Linked DNA regions of Bombyx mori. The protein of the gene in region 4 binds, or shares a complex with, the protein of the main gene of each other region. Links are inferred from orthologs where the notes say so. Each region holds a gene or a part of one and is shown on either strand. Other genes may lie near its edges.

Region 1 (3,691 bases), on a different chromosome or scaffold from region 4:
GTGCACTCTGTTTTGAAATTTACCATACTTTTTTAAAGCAGCCTAACTGATTTTTTTTACATTAGAAACATGATGACTCTCCTTCTGTAAAAATAGCTTTCATATGAGTTTGTGTGTAGTTATTTTTCCTTTTAAGTCTTAATATTAAGAGTGCAATTTAATTCGTTATTAAAATAAAACCCCCTAAACGTTATCTATAATATTATTATATTAGAAATAATTACATTTTAAAGTATCATGCCCTTGCAGTCCTTGCCCATTGTTGAGATGTAGAAATTTAAAAAAAAACCAAATTAATTGTTTGCTTCTAATAAGGACTATTTGTTTGATATTTAAATTATCTTTGATCTTACATACTCTGTAATAAATATTTTTTTCATTTTTAAAGAGGAAATTTAACTCATTTTTATTAAATTTAAAAGTTGTTTATTTATGCATTATATTTTTTGTTTAAACAAATGAAATTAAGGACATTTTCAATATTATAAAAAAAACATGGGTCATGTGTCACATTTATTGTAATTTTAATAGTGGCATTTAAATTAAAGAGCATCAACTTAAGAGATAACAAAATTATTCACAAACTTCTTTTGTATTGTACATTATTAATACCCAATAAGTCAAGATATGTATCTCGATATTAGAAGCACAAAGTCAAATAAATATCTTTCATTTAGATTTTTTTTTGTGTTTTTTTTTGTAATTATATTAGTAAGTAGTAGTCTCAGTAGTGTACAAAAAACACACTAATGGGAAGTGAGACTGAAGGAGCTTGGTAGAGTTTTTTACTATTGGTAATACTAGTGTCTTAGAAAACTTCAAATCTACCTACTAAAGATTGTTTTTTTTTTTTCATAATTTGTTTAACAATCTTATCGTAATCTTGTTACACAGATATCTGCCATACAGACATCAAATTACATGTCGAAATAACGAAATAATAATTATGAGACCTTAAGCCCTAATTCCGAGATATAACAAATAATTTTCTATAAAATACACACTGTCTATAATCACCATTCCGCATCACCATTAGCCTTTTGGAATACATAATCCTTTCCAGCTAGATTCATGATTCCATCTTTGAGATAGAACTTCCACCTATTGCGACTGCGTGTAATTTTATCATATTGGCAAACAACTACATTATCAGTATCAAACATGTCCCCTGGCTCCTCATCAGATACATCATCACCGGAATTTAGGGGTTCTTCTTCAGCACCACCACTTTCATTTTGTTCTTCTTCTTCTTCTTCTGCCCGCTCTTCGGGAGAATCGTCATCATCATCATCATCTGCTGCACCGTCTTCTGAACCATCACCTACGTTTGAGCCATCATCATCAGAAGAGTCCAAAGCACCATCTAAAGAGAAAGGAGCAGTTCCACTGCGGCCGCCTCCGCCGCTATCAAAATCACTTTTTTGTCCTGCTAAAGCCGAGTTGATATGTTGTTGCAGTAAAGTAGCAGCTAGAGGTTGTGGAAGGCTAATGGTAGCATTTATTATAGGACCTGTTAAGACCTGATGCAGTTTGTTGCCGTTCAGAGCTGATGCTGGAATTTGAATGGTAAATGAACGAGGCTGGGACCCTGGAACTCCAGGTTGAGCAGGTAATGTAAGCTGAACTGGCACTTTATTATTAGGGTCTAGAATATGATGAGTATGCGTTCCAGCTACACTAGATGCTGGTGCACTATGTTCTTGTTGCCCCGAAGTATGTCCCATGTCAGTTCTTTTATGCACTACATTACTACCATTTACTTTTTGGAAATTCTGTAACACTGGAGGAGGTGGCAGCATCGGCTCAGGTTGTAACGGGTCCGTGGCTCCACTGGCTTGAAGCTTTGTCTTCCATAGTTGTTTTAGTTCTTGTAACACTTGTTCGTCTACACCGTCATCTAAGAAAGAATTTCTCACTCCGGATATCACGTCGTCTACCACTATGTTGTAAAGTTTCAATACTGCGAGCTGACTCGTTGTCATTTTGCAATCGAGCTGTAGTTGAAAATTGTTTAACAGTGTAAAATGTTCACAGAACTAGATATTCTTGTTTCTAAATCTGTTTAGTTTAGTTTAGAGCCGATTATTTGTCTTCTGAGTTCACATCGCAACATTTCAATGTCAAATTTCTGGAATTCACACAGTTTGTTAATTCACTAATGTTGATGACCAATTTTATATATTTAAGATAATATGTGGCTAAAGTAGCTTATTTTAACTTTTATGACGTCCATTTACATAAAGAGAGACAAATTTATAAATTCACCATAAAAATTTTGACAATTGATCACTCAAACATAACCTACAAACCGAGGAAATATTTCGTAGCCTTTAAAGAAATAATTGTCTATGGTTCGTTGATTCCGACATTGAACGACGACAAAGATGGCGCATGCGTTATGAGTACGAGAAATAGCACCGCCCCGCACCGCGCCCCGGTTGATTACGTATTGGTGAGTTTGCGCCTTGGGTAGTTGCCTTTAAATTGATTTTACGGTTTGAAAGGAAAGAGCCACCACTTTAAAATTTCAAAACAAAATTGGCATATCTAAAATTTATTGTTATAACATTGAATGATGAAATTTAAAAATATAGAATTTTCACAAAAAACGGTATTCATTCAAAAAAATTCGTTACAAGCCAATTTTAATGAAATTCATTTCTACTTAAACCATTGTTAAATAATATTGACTAAATAATATTTATATTTTATTTATATTAAACTATTGCACTGTTGAGTACAAGCAACGCAACACTCAATTTTATCTTGTACTATGAAAACTTAAAGACTTCATTCTTAATAAAACCGCATAATAGGACGTTTATGAAACAAGAGTAACTATAAACTTAATTGTTATTTTAGATAGATTTTTCAGTTTTTCAGTGGTTGTAAAAAATGTTGATTAAAATTGGTGGCATAGACAATAATTGAATTTTAGTATTTTTGTGGCGGGAAATCCAAATGTTGGAAAGAACTTTTCGTCTTTGTCGAAGCTTTTCATTTTTTTTGTAACGAATGACGTTGAAGTTTTTATATTTAAAATAGGGGCTTAAACTTATATAGTTGAAAAGGTAGTGTATAATAATATGCTTTCGTTATTAATTTGACATCAATCATCATCAATTCATTTGACTCAATACATTTCTTTCTGTGACAGATTTTTAAAGCACGACAATTGGTAAGAAGGTATTCTAATGGAACATTCTTATATATTCTGACTTCAATATAATATTAAAAATTTATAAATATCAAAATATGAGGGTTACAGTACTCATTTACCTCAATTTTCTTTTAGTAAATATTGTAACGAACAAAATCGATACCAATGCCGAATGAAACACGGTTTTTTCAGTTTATCAAATCAAACTTCTCTTGATAACACAATACAGCACATTTACCGTAAATTAATTAAAGGTAAATTAAAAGCACAGCTAGTTATTTCGGGGAAATAACGTCATCTGTCAGTGATTGGTGTGTATCTGTATAGTCCGCGGTCGACGCGGTCTAGTGGGGACCGTGTTGGTTTGTTCGTCGGCTAGCTATTTGCAGCAGATCGATACGTTCCAGAATATCATTACTCGCTCACCTGAAGTCTAAATTAACGTAGGATCAAACTAAAATTTGTTTACTATTCACTATGTGTTCGCTATTAATGTAGAATTTTGGTTTTATGGCAGTTCAAAAACCATCT
Region 2 (4,030 bases), on a different chromosome or scaffold from region 4:
CCAAGCCTATTATTTATGAACATGGTAATCAATTGGACTGGCTGCTAATCTATCCAAACGGACACTGGTAGTATCTGTGAGTTTTATATAATTATCGGATCATATTAAAAAAAATACATCAATAAACAACTTTAAATCCATACGCATGAATAATCTACTGATTTAATAGGTAAAGGTAATAAATATTTCGATATATATATCTAACTTTTTCTCTAACATTTTTACGATGTTTCCCCGGCGCTTTGACGTATCCTTATTCAAACGAGATCTGAAGACAATTCTTAACACTTAGCAACTGCTTGGGCTCAGGCATTGCTGACTGCTGATATCTATGAGCGACGGTGATTACTTACCATCTGGTGGCCGTATATTCGCATGCCTACGATTACAACAATAAAAAATAATATCATTAACAACGCACTTTTTTACTTTTTGTTAGGAAGAAAGTTTTACTGGTGGCCCGTTCAGTTTCACCAGGACAGTGCGTGCGCGCATTCAGCCGGGTCTTTTTAACTGAGGTGGTGGAGGTAATAGAATGACTTTCGAAACACTATTTGGTTTGTATTATTGTCCTCTATCGACCGTACTTTCTGCACTTCTCGATGACTATGCAATCACAAAAATTACGGTTTTTACATTGTATCAAAACACGAGGTATAATTTAATTATATTAGGGCGCTCATTATTGATCTGACAAAACATTTCAGAACTAATAAGTGCCTAGGCCTAGCTCCACGACGCCCTTCACGAGGTCAAGGATCGTAGCAAATGGAGAACAATCGTATAAGAGAGATTGATGCAGCGGGGGAGTCACGACCCTCCTTTCAATGAGGAGAACGACTTGAGGAGGAGGAAGGGCCGAGGTATCATTTTAAAATCATATCAAGGCTTCGATCACAAAAAAATATACGCATTCGTAGTTTAAATATATATCTTTGAAGTAGGCGATCTGTAATTCAAATGCCAAATCTAAATACCAAATCTGTACCAAAGAGTTGAAAAATATGGTGGAAAAGGTGTTATCGGTTTTATGACTAAACAAAAATATTAAGCAACATTATTGATATTTTGACTTCATGTCTCGAGATACGTCGTGATGTATATACTGTCCGTAACCAGTAACCACTACGATCCGTAAGCTCATGTGGTGCGAGTTTCTGTAATTCGAACTAAATGGTAAGCCCTATGGTTATTTTACTTTTTCAATATGGCAATCAGATCTTAGAGGAAAGTAATCTGTCAACTGTCACGAAGTCATGAAATGTGGTTGTCAAATTTCAATTTGTTTTGGGTTGTTTTGAATTTGGATTACTTTGTTATTATAATCTGAAACTTATGAATTAAAGAGATTTAAGAACTAATTATTAGGTAGACAGCAGACAGCGAGAACGATGTCAGAGTCTTCTAAATCGAAGTCTTTAAATTTGAATCCTTCGCCTACACTACAATGCAAAGACCTTCACGAATATCTTAAGTCGCGGTCTCCGCAGTTTCTAGAGACTCTTTACAATTACCCCACTATATGTCTCGCTGTATATCGGTAAGTCGCTATTCATAACCTTACCTGTAAGGCAGTAAGACTGCTAGAGGTAATGCACGGAACGCATCCAAATATTCCTAAAACTGAGCTATTTCATACATAATAACTACTAATGACTCTCGTGTATATATGTCATACGCTCAAAAGCACAAAAAAATCAGTTGTTATCATTCACCAATGAATATACAATAAGAGGTACAGAGTGATTTACTGTTCAACTATTTAATTAATTTGTCTATGACTAGCTAAAAGATAATACTAGTAATCATGTTTTAATTGAATAAAACTATTGTATAATACTAAATTCCAGCGAATTACCAGAGCTAGCACGTCACTTCGTAATCCGCTTGCTGTTCGTTGAGCAGCCAGTCCCACAGGCAGTTGTCACATCCTGGGTCTCGCAAACATATGCCAAGTATGTACTTGTTATCACAATACACAGTAAAAGGTCTTAAAGTAAATGTTGATAACATCTATAGTTTGACTCAAACATGGCTAAACATGGTCCTACAAAATTATATGGATGTGTAGAAGAGTTGCGAGAATTAGAGCACTGTGGTATGTGAAGAATGTCAACCTTCACAAAATCTAAATTAAAAACAGACATGTATGTATCCAGTGGTTTTAGGCCTCGCAAGCATCCATCATCCTCCTCATCGAACTTGTTGATTATGACGAAGAGTTAGCCAAAGTAAGCCATAGACACAGCCTGCTGAATTTCTCACCGCATCTTCTCAGTAGGTCGCGACTCCCATCTGGTGATAGATTCTGTGAAGCACAGCTCTTCCTAGGGCCAATGCTACCAAATTGTCTGGATTTGAGCCCCTGAGTTCACTTAGCTGTCTGAGCGTAGCTGGAATATCCCAAACTAGCAGGGAATAGATAGGGAAAAAAATAACATTCTAATCGGTTACCCAACAGCAGTGCCATATTTAACTCAAATGTCAAAAGAGATTGTAGTGCTGATTTTCCTTTTCATAAGATATGGATTTTTTTGTGCAAAATGACAGTAACCAACCCTTGAAGCTGTTGAAGTTGTTGAATTAAAGAAGTGAATGCTGCCTTCCCCTACAAATTTGGGAGATAAAAAATAAATAATCATTCTGTAATGCTTTTTAACAATCTCTTGAAATTTGAGTTAAATGTGGCACTGCTGTTGGGTGACTGATTGTCAATGGTACATTGATATATGAATGTGATCCCATGGAGATATGTCTCTATACTACAACTAACCCCCTTCCAAACACCTTTTTTCAATAATGTGGCACTAAGTGTATCTTTTTCCTGGTAGACTCCATACTATTTTCATATTATCCAAATTTAACCTCAGCTACTTAATTGTATGTGGCAAAAAGTACTGTTTACTGCCACTTTTTGCAGCTTCTTTCCTATCACAAAAAGAATTAAAATCTGAGATCAAACCACACTTAATGATGAAGCAGTCAACATTGGTCAGTTTTTCATTTACAGCTTAGCTTATAATTATAAAAAAAAACAAAGGAATATGGAACCAATTTAAAAAAAAAATTAGATATGCTATTCATTGATATATTGAGTAGGACCACTGAAAACGATATCAGGAAAAAATAAACTATGTTTCGGATTCCTATAATTTTTTCCAAGAATGTAGACATTGGAAAATATCAACATAATATTATTGTTTTATTTCAAGGTCAAATCATAACATATTCGCAAATTATAGAAGACAGGGAGTGAATAAGTTTATCCTTTGATGGAAATAAAGCAATTCTGCAATCATTATGTAGGCTTAGGATAGAATACTCGTACTCTCAAATCGGATACGGTAGTAGCTATGCCCCCCCTCGTAGGCCCCTCAGGCCGACTCGCGGCGTTCGATGATGACGAAAAAGCAGAGCTGCTGGCCGATACATTGCAAACCCAGTGCACGCCCAGCACTCAATCCGTGGACCCTGTTCATGTAGAATTAGTACAGTGAGGTAGAACGCAGAGCCTCCTTGCCACCCTTGGATGCGTTACCACCCGTCACCCCGAAGTTAAAGACTTGATCAAAGACCTACGTCCTCGCAAAGCTCCCGGTTCCGACGGTATATCTAACCGCGTTATTAAACTTCTACCCATCCAACTCATCGTGATGTTGGCATCTATCTTCAATGCCGCTATGGCTAACTGTATCTTTCCCGCGGTGTGGAAAGAAGCGAACGTTATCGGCATACACAAACCCGGTAAACCAAAAAATAATCCGACGAGTTACCGCCCGATTAGCCTCCTCATGTCTCTGGGCAAACTGTATGAGCGTCTGCTCTACAAACGCCTCAGAGACTTCGTCTCATCAAAGGGCATTCTCATCGATGAACAATTCGGATTCCGTGCGAATCACTCATGCGTACAACAGGTGCACCGCCTCACGGAGCACATTCTCGTGGGACTTAACCGACCAAAACCGATCTACACGGGAGCCCTCTTCTTCGACGTCGCAAAAGCGTTCGACAAAGTCTGGCACAACGGTTT
Region 3 (2,953 bases), on a different chromosome or scaffold from region 4:
TTGCCAATACTACGATTATTTTTCTTCATTGTATGGTTACGCTAGCTCACAGCCCACTTGATGTTGTTGTGGTCTATAGGATACGATGCCGGTTTACAAGTATCAAGCGATTGTGCTGGTGTTAGTATCAAGGGATAAGGCCTTAGGAGGCAGGTAAAAATTTTCCTTAATAAATATGTATGTATTACAGAATCCAGTGACTTCTACTATGGAAGATTAGCAGTGTGTACTTTTGTTATACAGGCATATTATGCTTACTGTAGGAAACTAATATGGCCGAGCTTGTTCTACATAGAATTATTTCTGAGTAGTGTATTATAAGTTTATCAAAAATTGTCAAATGTAAATCTTCTACACTAAGATCCAAATAAACTTGTTGCATAAAACTCTTCAATATTGCTATGGTTTTAGAAACATGGAAATAAAACCTTTTGAAAAAGAAACTTTCATTGAACTTATTATTTAAAAATAGAAATGTATTTCTCAGCATAAAAAAAACATTTGGACAAATGTTTATAATTTCAATTATTCAGATTTGATTCTATTACATGTAATTTTTAAAACATGGTTTTTAAGATTAATCAGTATAGAATTTACAGTTTAAAAGTTATCATTCCAAGAAATGGAATTAAAATTACGCACCAGTTACATGGTGATTAATTTTAATCCTTATTAAATTTACCTAATTTAAAACAATCAGTAAAACTGATTTTTGCATAAAGTGATTCTGATACAATGATTCTATTGCCGAGTTTTCCTTTGACAACCTTAAAACTAGTATAAAGCAGCCTTTAGGAGTTTTCAGTTTCCTTGTATCTGAAAATAAATAATACTTTACGATATTATCTTGTACGATGTGTTCTTTTTTAAATTAGGAAATAATTTTATTTTTGAGATAGTAGTTGCTTACAAGATCATTATTATGTCCAGTTTTATATTACCAAGGAAATTTGGCCACAAGTTGCAATTATTTTCCTGTCTTAGGCTAGTGGTAGGGTCCAATTTTATTTAATACAAGTACAGATATTGATGACTTGCTCATCGAAATACAAATAAATATTGTAATTTACATACTTGCACTTTATACATGTGTAGAAAACTGTTTGTCCTTCATCGGCCGATCGTAACTGTAGAGTTGCATATGACATTCTGTCGTAACCGCATTTAGCGCATTTTCTCTCCACAACTGGACCCTCAGGACCATCAGTATGTAGTATATTCTCATTTGTGATCACAGATATAGTATTGAAATGTATTGTGTATTGAAATTTCATTTTACTATAATCTGTAAAAAAAGAATTTCTGAATAAAACATTTTTTTAAGTTTTTATTTTATATTTCGAAAACAAATACAACAGGTTCTTTCTGGATTTCATAAGTATCACTAAAGTTTTTTTATTTATTATAAATTTAATAGTGAATATTCGAAAATTATACAAAAGCATAACGCTGAAAAATCGTATCCCGTTTATATGAAAGTAATTTTTTCATTGGCAACTATATACTTACTATCAGCCTCATAATGTGCTTTACAAGTGTAGCATTTCACGGAGCCAAACTCTTGTAGCAAGGGTAATATGGACCCACAGCGAGCACAAAACGCTGTACTAGTTGATAACGGGCTTTCAGTGGACATTATTTCTAAAAGTAAACACAATTATCACTAAAAGGGTTGTGTATTTTTGTTTAGAATATTAGGTTATTTTAAATCTTTATCTATTAGTACTAAACATAACCAAAATATATTTTTAAACCAATATGAAGCATACTATATATTTTTGTGAAGGGTTTTAGACAGTTTTAGTGTATACATACCCTAAGTATTTGCTATACAAAAACCTATTTTTTTTTTACTATAATGATAAATTCATTACTTACGTACAATTTTTTTTAACTGTTTGACAATTGACAAAGGAAACATAGCCCATACTGATAGTATTAGATCACTTGTAACTAAAATTTGAAAAGATGAAGTTCAGTAACTGTTTCTTTTTCTTACCTAAGCTCATAGCCTTGAGAGGCTATGTTAGCGTCACCTAACAAGTAGGTGAGCTCACGGGACTCAAACCTGATGACGTTGCTAACGCTAACCCTAGCAAGAGCAGTGCTTCTCTGAATCTACCAGCGGATCGGAATCGCGACCTACTGAGAAGATCCGGCCAGAAACTCAGTGGGTTGTGTCTGTGGGTTAATTTACTCGCCGAGCCCTTTGTCGCAAGCGACGGTTTCGACGAGAACGATGACTGGTGATTTGAAGTGCTTAAAAGCACCGTTAGTGGATCGGGAGGATACGAAATGACGTGCTGTAATTAAAATAATGAAGATTGCACTTCTACGTTTTAGTTTTGGTGGACTTTTTGTCTCTCTACCACAGTCTGTGACAATGCCTACAGAACTACAGAACGCTCCCAGTAGCTGTAGATATAACCACTACAGTCTACTACAGCTCATTTTTAGCTCTTGCTCTTTACACTATTACTAACTCCACTCTATAAACGAAATTATAAACGCAATTCTTCAATAGTGGATCTCTAAAATCAGTCATCTTCATTGTTTCTCATATATAGATTAGTAGGTATTTAGGAAATATGTTGACAACTGTCGTCGTTGCGGATTAAACTCAAACTGCAGTATAGGAAGCATTTATTTATTCCACACGCACCTTAAAATCGTATACATTAACAATCAATTGATTTTTATCTTTGAACCTTTTAAAAACGTAAAACACATTTTTTTATATCATGACATTTTTCCCTCAAACTGACAGCCTGTCTTTTGAAGTGAAAACTTCTTTAGAATCGTTGTGATTTCAAACCGGATGCAACGGATAAAACGACAGGTAAGAGACACAAATACAAAAATGTGTAGGATGAAGCCAGCAAAGAATGAGACAGAAATATACATACTATTTAATACAGCGCCATCTGTGAGATTTTTTAATACTAACGCGTGT
Region 4 (3,770 bases):
TCTTGTGAGACCGCGCGGGTAGGTACCACCGCCCTGCTTATTTCTGCCGTGAAGCAGTAATGCGTTTCGGTTTGAAGGGTGAAGCAGCCGTTGTAATTATACTTGAGACCTTAGAACTTTATCTCAAGGTGGGTGGCGCATTTACGTTGTAGATGTCTATGGGCTCCAGTAACCACTTAACACCTGGTGGGCTGTGAGCTCATTCACCCATCGAAGCAATAAAAAAAAAAGATAATGAACTCATTTGATATCTATCTATAAAGTTACATATTTTTCTTGCACTTAAGTCTTTTTTTTTTAAGGCAGTAGTTCATTTAGAAACATCAAATAAGTTGATTGATACTTCAAATCATTCAGATTACTTATATCTATTGGGTACAATTTAGAACACATATATCATGGCGGTAGGTGGCATTCATGTTTTAATGTCTATGGGCTACCACCAGTATATAATGTAAAGTGATGATGTAGATCTATAAATCTACTATAAAAAAACTACCTTGTATATATTTTTTTTCATTGGTCAGTATTATTAGAGCATAGACAAAGTAACAAAAATACACATTAACCTTATTATAAATTTATTTCACTCTTCTGTGCATGATGTATCCACCGAACTTATCTTCTAGGGTTTTGTTTCCAGAATTCGTTTACCGAGCGTCAAACACAACCACTGAATTCTTACTTAAGGAAAATTTTTCAGAATATTACGAACAAAAATATGATGAATTTAAAATCAACACAAACTACAAAAAGGGTAATTTTCTGAAGATTTTAACAGATATGAGTCGTCTATTATCAAAGGTGGCAATCTGTACATTTGGACAATTTTTTTTTATTGATATGTCAATACAGATTTATTTGAATATAATCGTCTCCTTCAAAGAATACGGTTCAAAACCTGCATTAAATAAAGGTTAATAGTTAACCTGTTATTTATCTAAGATGTCGTTCCGAAGAGTTTTGTGACTGCCAATGGAATACAAAGTCAATAATTCGTTTTTCTGATTTACCAATCATTGTCCAAAAGTCAGATTGCCGCCTTTGATAATAGTCGACTCATTTATTACATTTATTTTCTTGCAAGCTCAATGTGATCTAAAGGATAAAACAGATGGTGTAGTTGTGTCAAGCTGTGCAACCATGCAAATGTGCAAATTGCATATACCAATATCCAAAGAAATATACTCTCGAAATGTGATCACGAATCACTTCCACAATGAAGGAATTAAATATGGGTGATACCTGTCAATACCTTTCTACTGATTAAAATCACTAGGCTGTATCCTAGTCCTATAATCTTTACTTTAAGAATATATTTATAGAATCAAAAGGATACGTCTTTTTGTTCTTTTCTTGTACATTATTCTGTAACCACATTCTCTGCACCTAATAGGATCTCTTGGTTTGATTTCATTCTCTTTGTGACATTCTGAAAATGATAATGAAAGCATCATTTGTTTTGCAGACCCATATTATAGTTTCAGGATTGCATTTATTAAAGAAACCAACATTTAAACAGTTGAAGTAGATGATCGGCAAAAACAATAATGTAGAAAAGGGCAAACAATATAATTTACTCTCAATTGAATCAATTTCATTTTTCTAATACTTTTAAGTTTAGGTTTTTTAAATTTTAATATTAATATTAACAAGTTTTATTAAAAGCACTTAAGCTTTTACGGCTTTTAGCTTTACTAAAGAACATTTATATTTATACAGATGCATTCCCCATTTGAAATATAGTAAAACAATAACACATTAAACAAAACGCCTTAATTTATACAATGTTATAAGACAGTGTGAATAATTTTATAATCTACTATACACAAAAGACAAATTAACTGATTTATTAATTCTTTGTTTAGTAGACATTGACAAGCTTAGTGTTATCGGTAAGAACATTTTAAAAGTAGTTTCTTTCTTTTTTCTATAAAAAATGTTCATAAATCAAGAGAAAAAGAAATACAAAAAAAATATTCAATTATTGGGGTATGCTGATACCTAACAATTATTAGGTTATTTTGTGTTAGTGTTTTACAAAGTGATAGAAGTTTTGTTATTATTTGGTTACACTGTACCTCCACAAACATATATCATTGGCACTTTAGTAACTGATTGCTCTTTCCCAGTTGTGTCAGCCATTATGTGCTAAAATAGAGAAAAATTAAATAATAATAAAAAATGTGTTTTATTTTAAATCACCAATTTGATTTAAGCTTTATATTAAGTGTATAATCTATGCTTTGGATTGTTATTTTGTGTGTAGAATCTATGGTTTTTGGATTTGTTTAATTAAGCCGCAAAGGGAACTTAAACCATAAAACGTTTTGTTCAAAAGAGGGCTTGTCTTGTTGAAGAAAAAAATACGTAAAAAAAGGAGTGGAAATTTAAAAGAAAAAATCATCGGGACATTGGAGGGGAACCGAGGATTATTTTTAATTATTTGTTCGTCGTTTGATCGTCAATGTTTGAATGTAAAATTATCTGTTCGTCTTTTATTTATTTATAATTAATTAAACAAATGATCACCCTTCAGTTGGCCCCTCTTACTAGATATCTTTGTTTTTATTGCTCAGATTAATTAATTTTGATCAATTATTGTTTGTTCGACGACTATTGGTGATTGTTCGATCATAAAAACAAGTAAATTCGAAATTATTAATTATTTTATATCTAATAAGCAAATTATCACCTCACGCCTACATTGCGCATGCGCCGGTTTTGTCAGTCAGATGGCAATGGCCGACGGCCGTATTTACTACCTTTTTGTTACGCGCGAACATTAACGAACAAACGACGAACAAATAATTAAAAATTAAAAAAATCGAAAATTAAAAAAGGGGACCAAATTCAGTGAGCCGTAAAGCAAATAAATGGCATATTTTTTTACATTTTATTTATGGATTGAGTTAGCTAATCTGTGCATTAAGCTCCCAAACATAGAAAAACAGACTTTTTGGCGGGAACGCGAGGAGTGATATTGTGTGATTTGTTATATTTTGTCTATTTAGTGTTTCTTCGGGTTTAAATGTGTAATAATGGTGGTTTATTAGCAGTTTAATATCTGTGAAAGTGCACAAATGTGGGAAAATGGAACAAAGCCGCTGGACGTAACTTCTCGGGATCCTCCAAAAAGTCCACTGAAAAATCTTAGTAAATGACCACCATTTTACTGAGATTATATTTCATCCCATATTTTCTCATTTCATTTCGTTTTCATTTCATTTCATGCCATGTTTCACAATAATCAACTTCATTTCATTTAATAATATCATTTTTCATATAAAAAAGTTATCATTAAAATTAAAATAAGACTTGACCTAAAGGTCTTAGTTACCAGGTCATAAAATCCCTTAAAAAAACAAACATAGTAAACAAAGAAATAAATATTTTTTCATTTTTTTCCCTACCTGCACCTGCCTATTCGCTTAATACTCGGCAAACTTCTTGAGCATTAGTTGACGTAGTGGGGGTAAGTTCGCGCATCGTACAATTACGTACAAAAATGTTAAGTTATTAAAAACAACATAATATGTATTTATTTATATATTTATTAGTACATGAACAAAAAATACAGGTTAATAATTGTAGTAATTTAATCTAGGGGTAAAATAGATATTCCTTCCATTAGGTCAAAACTAGGAGCTGGTGCCAGGTCTTGGATCAGCTGAAGCTGAGCTGGTATTTTTAATTGTTTTTTCGCTATCATAATCATGACCATCATCATCATCATCACTACTTTCTTCATCCGTGTCGCAATCATCGTC

What was found. The genes of interacting proteins can lie anywhere in the genome.
Region 1: DNA-directed RNA polymerases I, II, and III subunit RPABC4 (region 4) and transcription initiation factor IIA subunit 1 share a complex: the UniProt entries of both Homo sapiens proteins name them as parts of the TBP-based Pol II pre-initiation complex. The link is inferred for Bombyx mori from reciprocal best matches to the Homo sapiens genes POLR2K and GTF2A1.
Region 2: DNA-directed RNA polymerases I, II, and III subunit RPABC4 (region 4) and general transcription factor IIH subunit 4 share a complex: the UniProt entries of both Homo sapiens proteins name them as parts of the TBP-based Pol II pre-initiation complex. The link is inferred for Bombyx mori from reciprocal best matches to the Homo sapiens genes POLR2K and GTF2H4.
Region 3: DNA-directed RNA polymerases I, II, and III subunit RPABC4 (region 4) and Znrd1 share a complex: the UniProt entries of both Homo sapiens proteins name them as parts of the pol I pre-initiation complex. The link is inferred for Bombyx mori from reciprocal best matches to the Homo sapiens genes POLR2K and POLR1H.

The regions. Positions count from the first base shown.
Region 1 is NC_085117.1:13,411,164-13,414,854, reverse strand, and holds transcription initiation factor IIA subunit 1, read right to left. Parts: upstream 2,505-3,691; 5' UTR 1,983-2,504; coding exon 1,014-1,982; 3' UTR 501-1,013; downstream 1-500. UniProt on the Homo sapiens protein: TFIIA is a component of the transcription machinery of RNA polymerase II and plays an important role in transcriptional activation. TFIIA in a complex with TBP mediates transcriptional activity.
Region 2 is NC_085125.1:220,016-224,045, reverse strand, and holds the start of general transcription factor IIH subunit 4, read left to right. Parts: upstream 1-1,230; 5' UTR 1,231-1,391; coding exon 1,392-1,540; intron 1,541-1,850; coding exon 1,851-1,955; intron 1,956-4,030. UniProt on the Homo sapiens protein: Component of the general transcription and DNA repair factor IIH (TFIIH) core complex, which is involved in general and transcription-coupled nucleotide excision repair (NER) of damaged DNA and, when complexed to CAK, in RNA transcription by RNA polymerase II.
Region 3 is NC_085112.1:11,752,489-11,755,441, reverse strand, and holds Znrd1 (transcription-associated zinc ribbon protein), read right to left. Parts: upstream 1,643-2,953; 5' UTR 1,642-1,642; coding exon of another isoform or gene 1,637-1,641; coding exon 1,510-1,636; intron 1,286-1,509; coding exon 1,075-1,285; intron 817-1,074; coding exon 792-816; 3' UTR 501-791; downstream 1-500. UniProt on the Homo sapiens protein: Core component of RNA polymerase I (Pol I), a DNA-dependent RNA polymerase which synthesizes ribosomal RNA precursors using the four ribonucleoside triphosphates as substrates. Can mediate Pol I proofreading of the nascent RNA transcript.
Region 4 is NC_085111.1:12,249,201-12,252,970, reverse strand, and holds DNA-directed RNA polymerases I, II, and III subunit RPABC4, read right to left. Parts: upstream 2,339-3,770; 5' UTR 2,146-2,338; coding exon 2,082-2,145; intron 1,433-2,081; coding exon 1,340-1,432; intron 674-1,339; coding exon 651-673; 3' UTR 501-650; downstream 1-500. Other genes in the region: uncharacterized protein LOC119628526, read right to left, coding at 3,642-3,770. UniProt on the Homo sapiens protein: DNA-dependent RNA polymerase catalyzes the transcription of DNA into RNA using the four ribonucleoside triphosphates as substrates.